Drosophila melanogaster: one gene and its partners. The protein of the gene in region 2 interacts with the protein of the main gene of each other region in a pairwise test. Each region holds a gene or a part of one and is shown on either strand. Other genes may lie near its edges. The genes, in order: grsm, SCaMC and CG2608.

Region 1 (5,689 bases), on a different chromosome or scaffold from region 2:
ATATCGCGTGCTTCTGCCGCTGCTCTTTAATCCCTTCTCGGCCAACGCTCACTTTTACATTGTCTACAATGAGTGCCTGAGTCGCGAGGAAATGGGCAAATTGGTGAAGCTCTGCCAGATGGGCATACAGTTCCAGCGGAATGCGGACGACTACGGCAAAATGTTGAGCATTATACCGTGGATTCGGCACATTTGGCCCGAATGGAGTGGCTACAACAAGCTAAACGAGTCCAACCTATTCGTGCGGCAGTTCTTTGCCGACTTTGTGGATAAGTATTTGGACAGCTACGAAGAGGGTGTGGAGCGCAACTTCATGGATGTCTACATAGCTGAAATGCGCCGAGGTCCGGGCTACGGTTTCAATCGGGATCAATTGATCATGGGCCTGGTGGACTTCTCCTTTCCGGCCTTCACTGCCATCGGAGTGCAGCTATCGCTACTCGTCCAGTATCTCATGCTATATCCGGCAGTTCTGCGGCGGGTTCAGAACGAGATCGACGAGGTGGTGGGATGCGGACGATTGCCCAACCTGGAGGATCGCAAGAACTTGCCCTTCACGGAGGCCACCATTCGCGAAGGTCTGCGCATCGAGACGCTGGTTCCCTCGGATGTCCCGCACAAGGCGCTGGAGGACACCGAATTGCTGGGCTACCGGATACCCAAGGTTAGAAAAGTTTCCTATCTATTTAATTTTAAAAACCAAACTATTTTCCCCTATATACCCGTACAGGACACCATTGTCGTGCCCAGCCTGTATGCCTTCCACTCGGACGCCCGTATTTGGTCGGATCCGGAGCAGTTCCGGCCGGAGAGATTCCTGGACGCGGATGGCAAGCTCTGCCTGAAACTGGATGTCTCGCTGCCCTTTGGAGCGGGAAAACGGCTCTGTGCCGGCGAGACATTTGCGCGCAACATGCTCTTCCTGGTGACAGCGACCATGTGCCAGCACTTTGACTTCGTCCTGGGCCCCAATGATCGGTTGCCCGATCTCTCCCAGAACCTCAATGGACTGATTATTTCGCCACCAGATTTCTGGCTGCAACTACAGGATCGGCATTGAAAGTAGCCAAGATATTAGAGTTATCTATTTTTAAGACAAAGTAATTTTACTGATTACGTTAGCTAGTTTGCTTGGATATTTTTTGAGGAATTTTATTCCGTCACATTTCAAAAATATTCTAGAATTGCCCAATACTATTATGTGATGCACCACAACGAACTATTTATTTTAACATTGTCGTTTACTCATATCGTGTGGTATCAAAGTTCGCGAACGGAACTTGTTGAGAAGATGCGATTGGAATGAGATGGGTTTCTTAGAAATCCTCATTATCGCTGTATACAATGCAATCAGAATCTGAGCTGGTGGATGAAAAACTCAATGAGCGAACCAGCGAGACCATCGAAGAATGTATTGAGGGATTGGGGGACTGGATAGCATTGTACTCGGATTCTGAATCCGGATCGTATCCTTCCTCATCGTCCATTTCCTCTTGCGGGTTCACGAATGAGTTGTCCAAAGGATCCACCTCGTTGGCGGCTTCCATCGTTGCACCCTGAGTCTCATTGCGCAACTCGATCACTTCTTGGCGAATCTGGTTCTGCTCCTCCGCAATGGTGGCCACCAGTTGTTCGAGACTGCAGATCTTGGCCTCATATTCGGTCAGTTTCTTCTTCAGCTGACAGTTTTCGGCCCGACAGTTGGCCAATTCCAAGCAGGCGCACATGGCGATCTTGACGTCATCCGAGGTTGCGGACCTGGTACTGTATGCAAACCACATTGTTACCACAAGGAACACATACGCCGGATATCGAAAGCGATCTCTTGGCCGAAACTTACATGTTTAAGCCACTGGAGTTCTTATTATGAACCGGGCAATTGAGGGACATTTTGAGACTTGAAATTTATAGGCAGTTCAGTTTAGCAATTGTCTTACGACAAAATCAACTTTGACCTATTTGTACTCGGAAAGTTCACCCAGAAATATTTGACACTGTTTTACTGTTCTCTTCGATTCGAATGCAAATATGAGCTTCTGAAATACAGAAATTCAAGGTCCCTAGATTTTAATCTCCATTTTAAATGGGTCGCAAATCGAATATAAATCAAAAGATACAGTCAAATTACTGCAGATTGTTTTACTAGCCGAGCTGATAACAAAAATAAAATAGCAAACTGCAAGATAATGTGCAAACACTTTGACCAAAATGCCCTTATCAATATTAAGACAATTGAGTGGCAACAAAAAAAATAGAAAATAGAGTTGAAAACAAGGTGATAATTGTTTGGTTACGAAAACGACAACTTGTTCGCTATGAACCCAGTGTTTAAAATTCACTATCAAAACAAGTGAAGTTGACATACACATGAAAATATATCTTACTTAAAAGTAACTTTTATAAATAATAAAATAAATGTTAATATTATTTAAACTACTGGCACTTACGCCTTTTGGTGACTTCATCAGCATGCATTCACGACTCGAGCGGTTGGAGCTGCTTTTCCGGGGACACCTATTGACGCTCCTTGGCTTGCAGGCCGGAGTCGTGGGCTTTCGGGAACACTTGGGCACTATTTTCTTGCGGCCGCATCCCATATGTTTGAGTTTCTCCGATTGACGCCGATGACGCGAAGTGGAGCTTTTGCTGAGACACCGTTTCTGGTACTGCAGGGTATTAACGAAGGGCAGAAGATAAAGTTCGCCGGTCAGGGGGAAAGTGTGTAATCCCTAGGAACTTACTTTCGATCGATACTGATTCTTTTCTCGCGAACTCAATGCATTCCAGTACCCCGCTCCCTGACGCAGTGACTCCTCCATTTGGAGGTGCGGGGATTTAAGATGTATAGCCACCGCGTAACTTAAAAAGCCGTTTGGATACGGTGCCATCTCTACTTATACTTTTCAACTAACGTACTGAAATTTAGGATGCTAAACTAAGAATTACGTACAAAACATTCGAGCTTGAAAAATTGAAAGGTACAAATTTGAGTTGAGTTGCTGTTGCTAACTGATAGAAGTGAAATCTCAAAACTACTTGTTTAATAATAATTGCCAGTTTCTGGATTTGATACACAACTCTTCGTTGGCCTTAGTTTATTATGATGTATATATTACAATTTGGTTAAAAACTGTTCGCTTAGCCTAGCAACAAGCGGTTTAACTTCAAAACTTACAGATAATTTGTCATTACACTTAGCCGTATTAGATAAGCGAGAGTCGTTCCGTTCCGAGGACCCTTTCTCCAAATTTATATTGCTTCGACTCCTAAATATCAACTTACGAACTAATTGATTTATATTCACGTTGCGCATGGACCTGCATCCATGCCAGTAACTTGGCTAATACTGGCCACTCCCGCCGATCCCCAAATCACCCCGATCCCCCCAAGGTCCTTGGCCAACTCCTCCCTCGATTATCCTCGCCATTCCCCAAACACGCAGGTGAAAGGATTTAGGTTTTGGTTTGGTTCTAGTAGTAGGCCTGCTTTATGGCCGCACTGGTGATAAGGAAAGCGGAGCCAATCAGCATGAAGGTGATGATTTTGAGAGCACTTGGTCTACCGGAAGAATCTGCGAAAAGCGTGACATTCATAGATCATCCTTACTCAATTGGTTTTGCAAGGACACTTACTTTTCTTATTGGGCATCACGCGAATGCATTGATTCTGATTGGCGTTCGCCGAGTAGCCCAGCTTGCACTGGCACACGGAGTTGCGGCACTCGACATTCTCGGGATCCTTTTCTACATAGCACTCGGTGGCCTTGGTGCACGACTCTCCCAGCTCTGCAAGATTGCAACATATTAGAATTATTACAAATAATTAAAGAAAGCTTAGCGACTCAATTACCTCGCTTCGTCTCACAGACTCCGTTCTTAGCATGCTGCTCATCGTTGCATCCACACTTGCCCTCCGAATTGCAGCTCGCCAGGAGCGGCTTGCACTGCTCATCCTCGACGCACTCGTCCTCCAGCTCCTCGGCTATAATGAAATGTAATGTGGGGCAGGGCATAATTTTGCTGCTTTGCATTTCAGCTTCTGAGTACTAACCCTCTTTTAGGCACTCATCCTTAAAGTGCACGTATCCCTTTCGGCACTGGCAGGTGCGCGACTGATCCTCCTCGTCCTTCTCCTGGCATTCGGTGTTCTCAGGTATGCAGTCATCCTCCACCGAGCAGTCGGCACCGATGCCACGCATACACTGATCGTCCTTCTCAAAGTAGTTGTCCGCACAAACGCACACGCGATTGGAGCAGACGGAGTGATCCACAGGACAGCCATCGTTCGACTCACACTCGGCTCCCAGGCCACGTTTGTATTCGCAGAGCTGCTTGATGGCATCGTAGAGAGCGTACTCCTCGCAGGTGCACCTCCTCGGAATCTCCGGGTGGCAATAGGAGGCGCCAAATGGACTGCATTGGCTGTTCGAGGTGCAGGATAAGTGGTATTGAATGGCTGTTTTGATGGAAAAGGATATATCTTAAGTGCGATTCAGCAGCTAGCGTTGGAACCACCTACGTTTTCTGCAATTGCGCAGATCCCGCTCGTAGAAATAATTCTTTTGGCAATTGCAAGTTTTGGTCAACTGATCGAACTCGTACTCGCACTCATCCGTGCTCTCCGCAATTTCCCCCAGTTCTAAAGAATTTTCATTTCAGTTAATTTCATTAATAGAAGAATTAAATTGGGGGAAACCCAGTTTACTCACCGGCAAAACATTTTCCATTGCGGGCATAGTAACCCTGGCGACATAGGCAAATATTCTTGGAACAAATCGAGTGCGGCAGACCCGAGCATGTCTTTCCATTATCCGTGCAGCTGCTGCCATCTAAATGGGAAAAAAAATAGTTGAAATATATTTAAGATTGCCTAAGCATTGAGAGACTTCATTTTTTTGGGGGCATTCTTGGATACTCACACTTCTTCTCATCGGCATCGTCGTCATCGCGGCTGGAACCCAGCGTGGAGTAGGTCTTTATATCCTCGTCATCGAATCGGAAGAGGGCGGGCAAGCGGCGTCTTTGGCCATGGGCGTGTCTCTGGTTGCGGCTGGAGTTGCGCCTGCTACTGGTGCTCGTGGAGGCGGTGGCTGTCGTTGTGGTGGTGGCGGTGGCCGCATTGCGCACACTTCGTCCCACCTCCCTCAGCTCGTACTTCTCGATGCTCGTCTGGACGGCAATCTCGTGGGATCGGGGCGAGATGAGCGGCTCGGTGTCGCCATTGGTGAGCTGGGCGAAGGACACCTGGGCGGCGGCATCGCTGTGAGTGGGCGGGGGGGCGTGTACAAAGGCCTTGGTTAGCTGCCTTCGGCTACTGAAAGCGGTCTCCTGTTCCGGATCGGCAGTCTCGGTGATCGCCTCGGCTGTGGTTGAATCATCATCCTCTGGCGAGCCCGGATTGGTGGTCTCCGTTTCCTCGGTCTCGCCACCCGGAGTCGTTGTGATCTCGTCCACATAGGTGCATACTAGGCCAACGCACTCGACACCGGCGCCCAGTTCATCACAGTCCGCGTTAACGACGCAGGCATCGTTTTCTTCTGAAAATCAGGCATATATAGAGCCATATAGAGCCATATATACCATTTACAATAACTTCTCGACTAACACATACCCATTGATTTGCGACGGCAGATGTTTCCATATCTGTTATAATAGCCATTTGCACAGCCGCACACGTTTTGCTGACAACT
Region 2 (5,727 bases):
TTTACGCCAGTCTCGACTAAAAAAGAGAACGAGTTTAAGAGAGTGCACATGATATGGTATGGCTAAAGCTCCGTCTCTTGGGCGCTCCGGTCCTTGAAAAATGGTCGCTCGGGTGAAGGTAAAATACTACGAGATAATACACATGCAGGCAATATAACTAGTGGCTGATTAGCGAATGGGACTGATGATAAAGCCTTTTTTCCCGGTGGGTGTGACGGGGTGTGATGGTTGTGATGGGTGTGTACAGTGTCCGGGCGTAGGTACGTATGTGTTCCCGAGTGCCCTGCTTCTACGTGGGTGGGTCTACAACAATATCAATGGTAATCGTAATATGTAACTTGACGGATATGTACCTTCAGATCTTCCTCAGTTAGTCAGGAGTAGTGTGGGTGTAGGTACTACATTCGACATTTTGGTTTGTTAGTGTGTGAAGTGTGTGTTTTTTCGGTTTAATTTTGTTTTTGGATATGGGCGAGGGGATAAGAAGGGTAAAAGTTGGCAATTAGTTAACGTTAAACAGCTACATGTATACTAGTGTACATAGATATTTTAAAAACAAACGCGATAGAACGAAAACTAATCCAGAGAAACAGTGGAACACCTTCGAAGAACCACTGCTCTCTGTTTTATGAATTCAGCAACTTGCAAAACGTATCTCTAGTAAACTCACAGTAGAGTGCCGCCAAAATTTAATCAAGTCATGAATGTCCGTTGAGGGCGCCAAGAGCATGAAGTCCCGCCACTCGTTAAAGCTAATGTTCAGGCTGCCATCCTTGTCCATTCTGCAAGAAAAGTCACGCGTATTAACACATGCACAAAAGAAAGTTGAGGATAATTAACCCACCTGGTGAGCAGATTTCTGGCCTCGTCCATGTCAATGTCCAGGCCCAGGTCCTTGAACGCCGATATCAGCTCCTCCAAGTCCACTTTGCCTGTAATACAATTCACTTATAAGAACTAATCCAATTAAGGTTTAATCAATTACCCACCATCGCGATTTTTATCTAGGTGCGAGAACTGCAGGACCAGGTTCTTCTCATGCTCCCGCACGTAGTGCAGGAACTCGGCGAAGCCCACGTTGCCGCTCTGATCCTTGTCCGACTGCTGAAGGAATTTCTGTAATGGAAAGCAAGTGCGGAATATTACTGGCATTGCTCCTGGAAAATTTACTAGATTCACTGCCGGAATATTACTGGAAAATTTGTGTCGAACACTCGCAGGCCTTTCGCATAGTGAGCCGCTGACTAGAGTATCGACCTGAATCGTGAAAGCAAATCAATTTCTCGTATCATGCGGGCTTCGCCGGCGGAAACCATATAAATCTACTCAGTTGTCTGCACATTAACCCTCTATATACCATCTAATCCAATTCTGATTGCTTTCGGAAGTTGTCACAATACTTGTTGCATGTAATTTCACAATCTGGCGATTTGTGCAACATAAATAAACTAATATAGGATTTCACTAGAAGTATAATGGAGCAGAATTTAGGTCACAGGATAAAAGTAATAGTTTAAATTTCTTTATATCTAGTTTGTTTTGGCTAAAATATAAACAAAGCTGCTAATAATACCACAAACAATATCTGTTAGTCAAACAAAGAGATTTGTACGCGAAATAATATTGTGCTCATCTAAAAATAGAATATTCATCTTCGCCTGGTTTGCCACCCCACATTTCTTTTGATTTAATAAGCCCTTTTTTGGCAACTGCAAAAATGACACAATGAAAGGGTCAGGCTGCCCAGGGTCAGCAGCAGTGCCAAATGTTTCGCCTTGATCAGAGCAAGCAAACAATGCAAAATGTATAAATTAAGATTCTCAGATACTTTTGCCCGTCAAGGCCGCATATTATTGATCTCAACCGTCTGCCTTCTGTTTGGCGAAGAATAGCAAATAGAAAAAGGCATTGTTAGTTCCCTGTGAAAATGGCGAGCCCAGGGCACGTGTAGTTCAACTATGCTAATCAAGATTGCTTGTTTTCTACCCTAAGATACATCTGTTAAAATCATGGGAGCCTCAGATATGTCCTATCCATGATACATTTGAAATAGCTAGATGAGATGTGATGGCTTCCATATATCATCCTATAAATAGGCTTTGCTCACCTCCGCGTAAACGCTCGACAACCCGAACTCGTGCAGTGCCGCTGACAGGTCGTGGATATCGATCCTGCCGTCGCCATCGCGGTCCAGCTTGTTGAAGATGCGCTCCAGCCGCTCCTCGTCCTCGATGGGGATCTCGGTGGGCAGGATGGAGCCGGAGCTGGCGACCTCGTGCAGATCATAGGCCAAGGGCGTGTTGGTAGTGCTGCTGGTGGCAAGATGGGCATGTTGCAGGCCGAGATTTTGGCCGTGCTCATAGCTGGCGGCTAGCGTGCGGGCGGAGTAGTTGGCCTGCGCCTGCTGGGCGAAGTTGAAGTTGCTGGCCGGATCGGGCGTCAAGTCGATGTCGATGTGCTGTTGCTTTTGATCCTCTGGCTTATAGTCCTGCTCCTTTTGATCCTGCTGCTTGCTTACTGCTAAGGATGCACTGTTTTCGATTCCAACTTGCTTTCTGACCATTCTCCACACTCGTGTTTACAGTTTACCTTGAGTTTTCTGTTCTTTAACTGGCAGCTGAAGGATTTCTCTGGGTTTGCTCGGTTTCCGATTCTCTGGGGGATTACGTGTTGGGCTATCAGCTGCTCTGCTCTTATGGCCGGCTCATTTTGCACTACTTGGCAAGTCAAATGGAAAAACAGTCGTCTGAAAGAGGTATCGAGTGTTGTATACACATTAGTTTATAATGTTATGTCTGGGCGAAAGATAAATAAAACAGCTCAACGTATCGAATTTCCCCGCGATGAAGTCATCCTCTTCTTGGCTGGAGAACTACATATGTACATTGTAGGTGCCAATTTTCAGGATCCCGCGTACAACCCACATCCCATTGATTTTCGCAGTTAATTTTGAAGGCCAGCGATTTTCCGGAAAACCTTGAAAAACCCACAGCTTCACGCACACGCACGCACATGTCTCCAAAAGTCGTGGTAGAGGGGGGGAGTGTTGGGAAAAGGGAGACTTTCCCCCAGCAACTCGAACTTTCTACTTTGCAAAGCGTAGCTTTAACCGAAGAATTCTTCACGCTCTCACACACTTTCTACATTCTTTTCTGAATTCTCCGCCCATTTTCCAGACAGGTGTGACTCAAATTTCTCTCGAAACGCTTGCAAATTGTTGCCAATTTGGCAAAAATTATTCTGCACTCGATTTTCATGCACACACACACACACACGCTCACATGCAGGCGAAAGGAATGTGGATATGCAAAAGAAAGTGGCAAGCTTCAATTGCATTTCCCACTTTTTCTGTGGTCACTACCTACTGGTCGAGCTATTTAAGAGTTCGTCTGCTTTTACGCTATTTCGGCGACTTTGTGGCTTAAAGCGATTCACGCAGAACTCTTCAATTTTAATTTTTTGGGTTTGCCAGTGTGACCACGAACGTTTATCTAGATATACTTCTTGTGTGGTCGAAAATACCCTAAAATGCATCGCGTCACTGCTTAGCCGTGACTCAAACCTATTTGTGGTTTTTAAAATGTGGAATTGTAGGGTAACACTATTAATTTTAAATGTATTTTTTAAATTTGCAAATATTTATATTTTTTGAATTTAAAACCGCCCATTTAAAAAACGAACGACTACACTTGTTAACATAATATGTATTTTCTCATCTCGCATCCCTCGCAGTATCCTGGCATACACTTTAAGCTAAGTAATTCGTTAGTTAAGTAGATCTATACAAAATTGGTCTAAACTGTGGAAATAATCGGGAATAGTTGCACTTTATGTTTGAAGTCGAAGAATGAATACACAATTCAGTTGGTTACATTAAATGCGCGCATAGCAGCCTCGGGGCCAGACATCAAGAGACACATAAAACAAAGGAGACACAACTTGACAACCGAATGGAATACAAAAAATACAATCGCATAAGCTGCTCGCCACGGTTTCTAGTTCATCAGCAGATTCCAGGCGTCGTCCTCGGCAGTGCCTTTGTTGGCGGACGAGGCCGTTGCCGTCTTGGGCTTCACACTCTTCACGTCCAGGCTCTCGAAGCCCTCGCTCAGCTTCTGCGATGTGTCCTGCAGCTTCATGTTGCGGCGAGCTGTCGATCCGCCGGACGAAGCGTTCTGGTAGGAGGTCTCTGAACTCTGATAGTTCGTCGCCTCGAAGCCGGACCAGTCAGCGTCGCGGGTTAGGCCGGCGGAGGCGGTACCGCCGCCGCTGCTGCTACTCAACTGATTGTGGTACGAACTCGAGCTGGTCATGTGCGACTTGCTGTTGCCGTTGTCCTGCCAGCCGCCCCAGTCGCTGTCGCTGACGCCGCTCTGCTGACCCAAGCCTCCGGCCAGATTACCGCCCACGGAATTGGAACGCTGGTAGGCGCTGCTGTCCTCGAAGTTGGGATCGTTGTATCCGCCCTGCGGCGACGAAATGTTGCTGCCCGCCAGATTATTCCAACCTCGTTTGCCCATATCGGTGACCTGCGATCGGTATGTTTATATGTTAGAGGGATGTGGGTTTAGAGAAGATTAACTGGATGATGGGGAACTACAGACCTTGCTGGCTACATCGGTAACTCCGCATTGTACGGAATCTAGCAGAGTTCCCTCTTTAATCTACAACCAAAAAAAGATGCAAATAAATAATACAAACAATAAGGTGTACCAATTAAATTAACAAACAAATATGGGGATTAACTAAAGGGATTTTGCTCTCTTTTGTTGTTAAGGTGGGTTTCTACAGCTTTAAATTATTTAAAACTAATCAGCAGACTAATAATAAACCAAAAGAATACAAAATCAACATAATATTGAACCAAATCGAAGAGAATAGGCAAATAAGGAATCAAAATCTGAAAGATATACGAGCTGAGGCGCAGGACTCACCTTTGTCGAGGCCAAATTGACGGTGGTGACGGCCTTCTCCTTGGCGGTGCTGGCCAACTTGGAGGCGTTGGTGGAGAAAAGGCTCCAGCCAGAGGCCAAAGTGGAAAGCGTCGAGTCGAAAAGCTCCTGAGATTGCGTTTTCGGTGGTGGTTCGCGTGTGAACCCGAAACCTGCATATTTTCCGCCCTGACTCGGTGGCAAGTTTCTGAAACAATCAACTAGGATAAATCATAGCTAATGGACAGATATGCCATTAAGATCCTACTCTGGCCTGGAGGCATTCTCCACTTGGCGTCGGCTGAAGAACTCCTCCTTCTGGTCCTTGAACTCCTGCGTTTGGTACTGCTGATAGCCTCCAGGCTCGGCGCCTCCGCCATTCTGATAGCCTCCGTTTCCGCCATAACCTGTTGCACTGGGTCGCGACTGGTAGCTGCTGTTGCTGGAGCCACCTGAGCTGAAGCTATTGTTGCTGCCCACGCGGCCTTGCGCCTCCTTGAGATCCCAGCTCTTGCCCTGGGCCAAGGTGGCTATCTTATCGCGGTACAAAGCAGCCGCCTTCGAGTTGTAACGCTGCGTGATAGGCGCCCGTTCGTTCCAGTCCTCCTGATCCTCCAGAAACTCGCGCGCATTGCGATTGCCGCCCGCCTTCATCTTCTCCAGCTCGATGTCCTTCCACTTATCCATAGTGACGGAGCGCACGAAGGACAGATGCACGCCCAGACTGCGATGCTTGCCGGAGCACTCCAGGCAGATCCAGATGCCGTAGGTCACGGACACCCACTGCGGATTGTGG
Region 3 (4,757 bases), on a different chromosome or scaffold from region 2:
TACCTAAAATAGTACATAAAACAATTCTTCCATCCTTAATTCATATTAGCTCACTCCGTAGATCTAACTACCTTTTACATAAGGTAGCGAACAAATTTTAGGTTTTAACGTTTTCGCTTAGGGGCACTTCCGGTTGCCCTTCGCACCTTCCGCTTGCCAGACGTGGAGGTTTCTGATTTCTCCTCGAAAGACGACTCCTCCTCCTTGCCAGTGCGCACCTCCCGATTTACTTTGTAGGCGGCGCCCATTCTCTTAATGTTCTCCTTGTGCACCACTTCGTGTTTAACAATCCGGTGGGGATAATCCGTGCCGAGGACGCAGCCGTATGCCCGCTGATCCACCAGCGACGCCTTCCAGGGCTCATAAATACAGCCAGCAGGATATTTTGAGAGTTCCGGCACATACTTCCTGATATAGTGCCCTTGGGGATCCGTTTTCTTGCCAAACGCCACCGGACTGTAGACGCGAAAATACTGGTGAAAGAAAGCGGACGCAGATAGCCACATCCAGTTGCCAGCGTTTAGTGCCCAGTCCTGATCCAGCAGCAGCTGCTCGAACACCCGCTGTCCCTCCTCCCAACTGATCCAGAGGTCTCCGCGCGTTAAGAAACATGCCACTGCATGCCGGGCCAGATGATGGATCCAACCCTCCTGGCGCAGCTGACGCATGATGGCGTCGATGAAAGGATATCCTGTGCGTCCGTGTGTCCAGGCCTCCAAGTGATCTGGATGCTCCTGCCACGGAATTTGCATGCAGTATACATTGCCCAACATTCGATCGAAATTGGGTTCCGCAGCCGCCACTGTGTAGTAAAATTCCCTCCACATGAGTTGTCCAATGAGCGAAACGGGCGGCTGCGAGTGCTTCGGCTGGCGTTTGATAATTTCCTTGAGCTTTTGATTGAACAGTCGGGCACTAAGGCATCCAAATTTGAGGTAAGGGCTTAGTACGGTAGTGCTAGGCTCCAGCGAGTTGGGTGCCGTGTTGGGCTTCTCAAAGCGGGCAACCCAAATTTCATCCTTTAGGGATTCCTCCATGCGGCGCAGTGCCTCTGTTTCGCCTGTTTGATAAAAAGAAATCCACATTGTTGTAGTTGTGATCAAGAGTTTAACTATGTTTTTACCTCCCGGAAACTTATTAGGGCCCAGTTCCTCCGGGCGTTTTACTAATTGCTTCATCGTAGGACAATCATAGGCCGCCGAATCCTTTTGCTCCACCTCATCTTTGGGTGGTGTAGGCATGTTTTTAAGCTTTTCAGGAACCCCTAGAACTTTAGGTACCTTTAGTTGCTCCACAATGCCCAGGAACTTTTGATAGGTAATTGGAGCCTTGCCAAGATTCTTCGCTATTACTAATTCCGGATTATAAATCGTGTGGGAGCAATGAGTTTCCACTCTCACACCCTCTGCCTTGGCCAACTTCTGCACGGCAGCATCCCGGGTCACGGAGTACGGCTCGATATCTGTCTCAAAAGTTAGCATTTCCACGCGCCAACTCTTAAAAATACGGGGAAAAACCTCTGCGGGCTTCCCGCGCACCACAAACAGACGGGAATTAAGTTTCCGAAGCTGGTTATCCAAGTCCTCCAGCGTTTGCTGCAGGAATCGCCATCGATTGGCACCCACTTGCATCCAATCGAGGATTCCTGGATCCAAAATGAAAATCGGGCGAACAAAGTATTTTCCTGGAGCAGCGTTAGCGGCGGTAAAAATGTGCGATAATGCCGGATTGTCGTGCAACCGGAGTCCTTTACGGAACCAGTGGACCAACGTGGACCTTTGTGAATCCATTTTGGCACGTGTCCCCGATTTCAAACGGTACCTATGCGGATTTATCGTAGAAAATATATTTCAAAAGCAAGAGCGTTCTAACGAACCTGCCAACACGTTTTCTGAACTTATTTACACTGCGCTGCAAGGAAAGTGTATAATGTTCTGGTGAGCGTGTTTATTTTGTTCACATACGTAGATAGGGCAAGTGCAAATAATATGAAGACAAATTTCATTGCATAATATGAAATTTAAATATGTTCACAATAATATTTTATGATGTAAAAACGTAGAACTTGTTAAACGTTCATGCTCTACATGCTTTAATCAATTTAAAATTACAAAATGAAATGTCTAACCTCTTTTTACATGTTTTGAGCAAGATATTGTATATACATTTTTTTAAATCTTTCAAGAATTTATGTTTCAAGTCGTCCGTCGAGTGTAAACAGCTGTTTTGCGATTCGAAAATACCGAAGTATGGCAATAGCGACCAAGTTGGCCATCCTCACTTTCAGTATTTTTTGCAGAGTTTATTTGGTGCACAAGCACCGGTAGTCAATATAATTATAATTACATTAAACCACCTAAAACAAGCTGATCAACCGCAATCAAACATCTCAACGGGATAATAATAAACGCCAGAGAGTGGTAAGTTCCTAACAATACGGCCACGAAGAGCGAACAGCTCGATTAACTGAAATTCCCTCGCATATCTTTCGATGGCATTGCAGGCGCACATCCGCCAATTGCTCAACATTAAGCGAGGAAAACACGGCGGAAAAATGGATCTGCTCGACTCAATACTCAACGCCATGGATGCGCCGCCTGCCAACAACGAGCAACAGAAGACGCTGATCAAGAAACAGCGCGAAATGTTAGAGCGGATGCAGAACAAACAGAAAGAGGAGCTCCTCCGATTCCGAAAATATGTAGACGAACGGATGGGGCGATTCGCCAAGGACGACAGGCGATGCATCGAGTTTCAGCCGCTGGATAAAGTGCATCGCTCGGTGATCCACGAAGTAGCCGAAAATGGCGGCTTCATTGCCATGAGCTTTGGCCGCGAGGATGTGGACCGACATTCGGTTGTGTACAAAAAGGAACACGCTCCTGGCGAGGATGAGGTCACGGCCCGTCGGAACGGAGACGGTTGGAACGAGGAGATAGCCAAGGAGTACGCGGAGCGACGGCGGGAACGATTGGCGCAGGAGCAAAGTGACAAAGAAGCCTCCACATCCGAAGCAGCAAGTTCAGGCTCGTCCACATCCACATCAGCGGATCAGGACTCCGGCGAAGTTAAGCCCACGACCAACTACAAGGCCAAGTATGCCCACCTCATCGGAGAGTCGGCCGCACTGCAGGCGGCCCGTAAGACGGAGACCAACCAAAGCTACGGATTCGTGCCTAGCAAGAATAAGAAGGATGTGCGCTCCATCGAACAAACTTTGGCCGACATCCAGGCCAAAAAGCGTCTGCGATTGGCTCAGCAGCAGGAGCTGGAGCAAGAGCAGCAAGCGCAAGAGGCAACCACATCCACAGAGGACCCATGAGTCGCCTGTGACCCAATTAGTATACAGATAGCTCACTTAATGCAAGACTGTCGCAACCAAAAAAAAGGATTATACTTCTTAAATCAGAATCAGAGAATCAGACATGACATGCTCGTCTTGTTCGCAAACTCCTGCTCGATAACATCGACAATATTTGACAAAACAGAGCAGTAATCATCTTCAGGGAGCCAAAGATTTTTAAATTTATAGTATTCATACTATGTTTTTGCCCACATTAATCGTATTTGGTAATAGGCTTGATACTAATTTTTATCTTAGGTTAGCCCCATTAAATTAAATGCCCTTTTTTTTTGAGTAATGACAGCCTTGTATCGAGTGAGATTAGTTTTGTTGATTCAGATTAGTCACATGAAAGGTCTCTGACTGCCATGTAAATCATAAGTAATAAGCAATTTCATTTGTTGGCCAATTAAGATCCGAAAGTTGTACATGTTTTAAGCAAGTTATGTGTCCGTAGCAGAGTCCGAATCGCAATATCTATTTATATAATAAAAACCTAAAAAAAAAAACGTCGCAAGGTTCAAAAAAATCTTAAAAACGGGGCGCCACTCAAAAATCACCAAAAAATACAGAATATTTCCATTCCAGTATTTTCTTGTTCGTCACTTCTTTCTTGTCACGGTGGTGAAGAAGCAGTCACAGTTTAATGCCAGCCGAAAGCCGCACCACGTGTTGCCCATTCCAAGAAAAATAAACTAAATTAGCACGATGGCTAATAGAAAACGCAACAAAATTTTGCTTAATACAATAGAGAAAGATATGTCAAATAGCTGAAAGTTATATGGTAACTAAAAGATGTGCGGATCACGAGAAACGAGCAATTCACTTTGACAGCCTGGCAGCTGTGACCCAAAGAGTCTCACTTTGAGACTTCTTGGGACCAACCAGCATGGGAAGTTTACGCGGTAAGAATAATACAGAAAGAAGATCTCCACAACCATGATGAAATCGTTAGATGGGGACAACTGATTACTGTGACTGATTCATCTCGATAGTAGATCTGATTTTAAAAATGTTGCTAGCCTACGTGCTTTCATGTTCAACAGCACTAAAATAACTCGTTCTTTTTATATAATGCAGAAAACTGATGTTTCTGACTGAAAACCGACGAAAGAATGGTTTCCACACTTGTAAGTATAATGATTGCTAAAGATTTATGATTTTTTTTTTTTTGTGATGAAATCGTTAGATAGGGACGTCTGATATCTGTGACTGATTTATCTCGATAGTAGATCTGATTTTAAAAATACTGTTAGCTTGCGTGATTTTATGTTCAACAACACTACAATAACTCTTTCTTTTTAGATAATGCAGAAAAACTGATGTTTCTGACTGAAAACCGACGAAAGAATGATTTCCACACTTGTAAGTATAATGATTGCTAAAGATTTATGATTTTTTTTTGTGATGAAAT

Evidence for each region.
Region 1: the proteins of SCaMC (region 2) and grsm interact in a two-hybrid assay, tested with the Drosophila melanogaster proteins (one large-scale study listed by BioGRID).
Region 3: the proteins of SCaMC (region 2) and CG2608 interact in a two-hybrid assay, tested with the Drosophila melanogaster proteins (one large-scale study listed by BioGRID).

Annotation. Positions count from the first base shown.
Region 1 is NT_033777.3:12,964,713-12,970,401, forward strand, and holds the start of grsm (granny smith), read right to left. Parts: upstream 3,001-5,689; 5' UTR 2,889-3,000; coding exon 2,742-2,888; intron 2,667-2,741; coding exon 2,448-2,666; intron 2,037-2,447; exon of another isoform or gene 1,891-2,036; coding exon of another isoform or gene 1,841-1,890; intron 1,765-1,840; coding exon of another isoform or gene 1,317-1,764; exon of another isoform or gene 1,226-1,316; intron 1,212-1,225; exon of another isoform or gene 1,061-1,211; coding exon of another isoform or gene 731-1,060; intron 665-730; coding exon of another isoform or gene 1-664. Other genes in the region: Cyp304a1 (cytochrome P450 304a1), read left to right, coding at 1-664, 731-1,060; CG14384 (uncharacterized protein), read right to left, coding at 1,317-1,764, 1,841-1,890; CG7381 (uncharacterized protein), read right to left, coding at 3,471-3,571, 3,633-3,785, 3,850-3,981, 4,051-4,455, 4,519-4,638, 4,709-4,828, 4,919-5,536, 5,611-5,689.
Region 2 is NT_037436.4:12,411,341-12,417,067, forward strand, and holds the start of SCaMC (short Calcium-binding mitochondrial carrier), read right to left. Parts: upstream 3,503-5,727; 5' UTR 3,362-3,502; intron 2,747-3,361; 5' UTR 2,564-2,746; coding exon 2,108-2,563; intron 1,117-2,107; coding exon 990-1,116; intron 933-989; coding exon 845-932; intron 783-844; coding exon 671-782; intron 1-670. Other genes in the region: ArfGAP1 (ADP-ribosylation factor GTPase activating protein 1), read right to left, coding at 3,996-4,529, 4,605-4,664, 4,935-5,139, 5,200-5,727.
Region 3 is NT_033779.5:20,643,541-20,648,297, forward strand, and holds CG2608 (uncharacterized protein), read left to right. Parts: upstream 1-2,281; 5' UTR 2,282-2,420; intron 2,421-2,503; 5' UTR 2,504-2,554; coding exon 2,555-3,322; 3' UTR 3,323-3,841; downstream 3,842-4,757. Other genes in the region: phr6-4 ((6-4)-photolyase), read right to left, coding at 105-1,060, 1,124-1,790.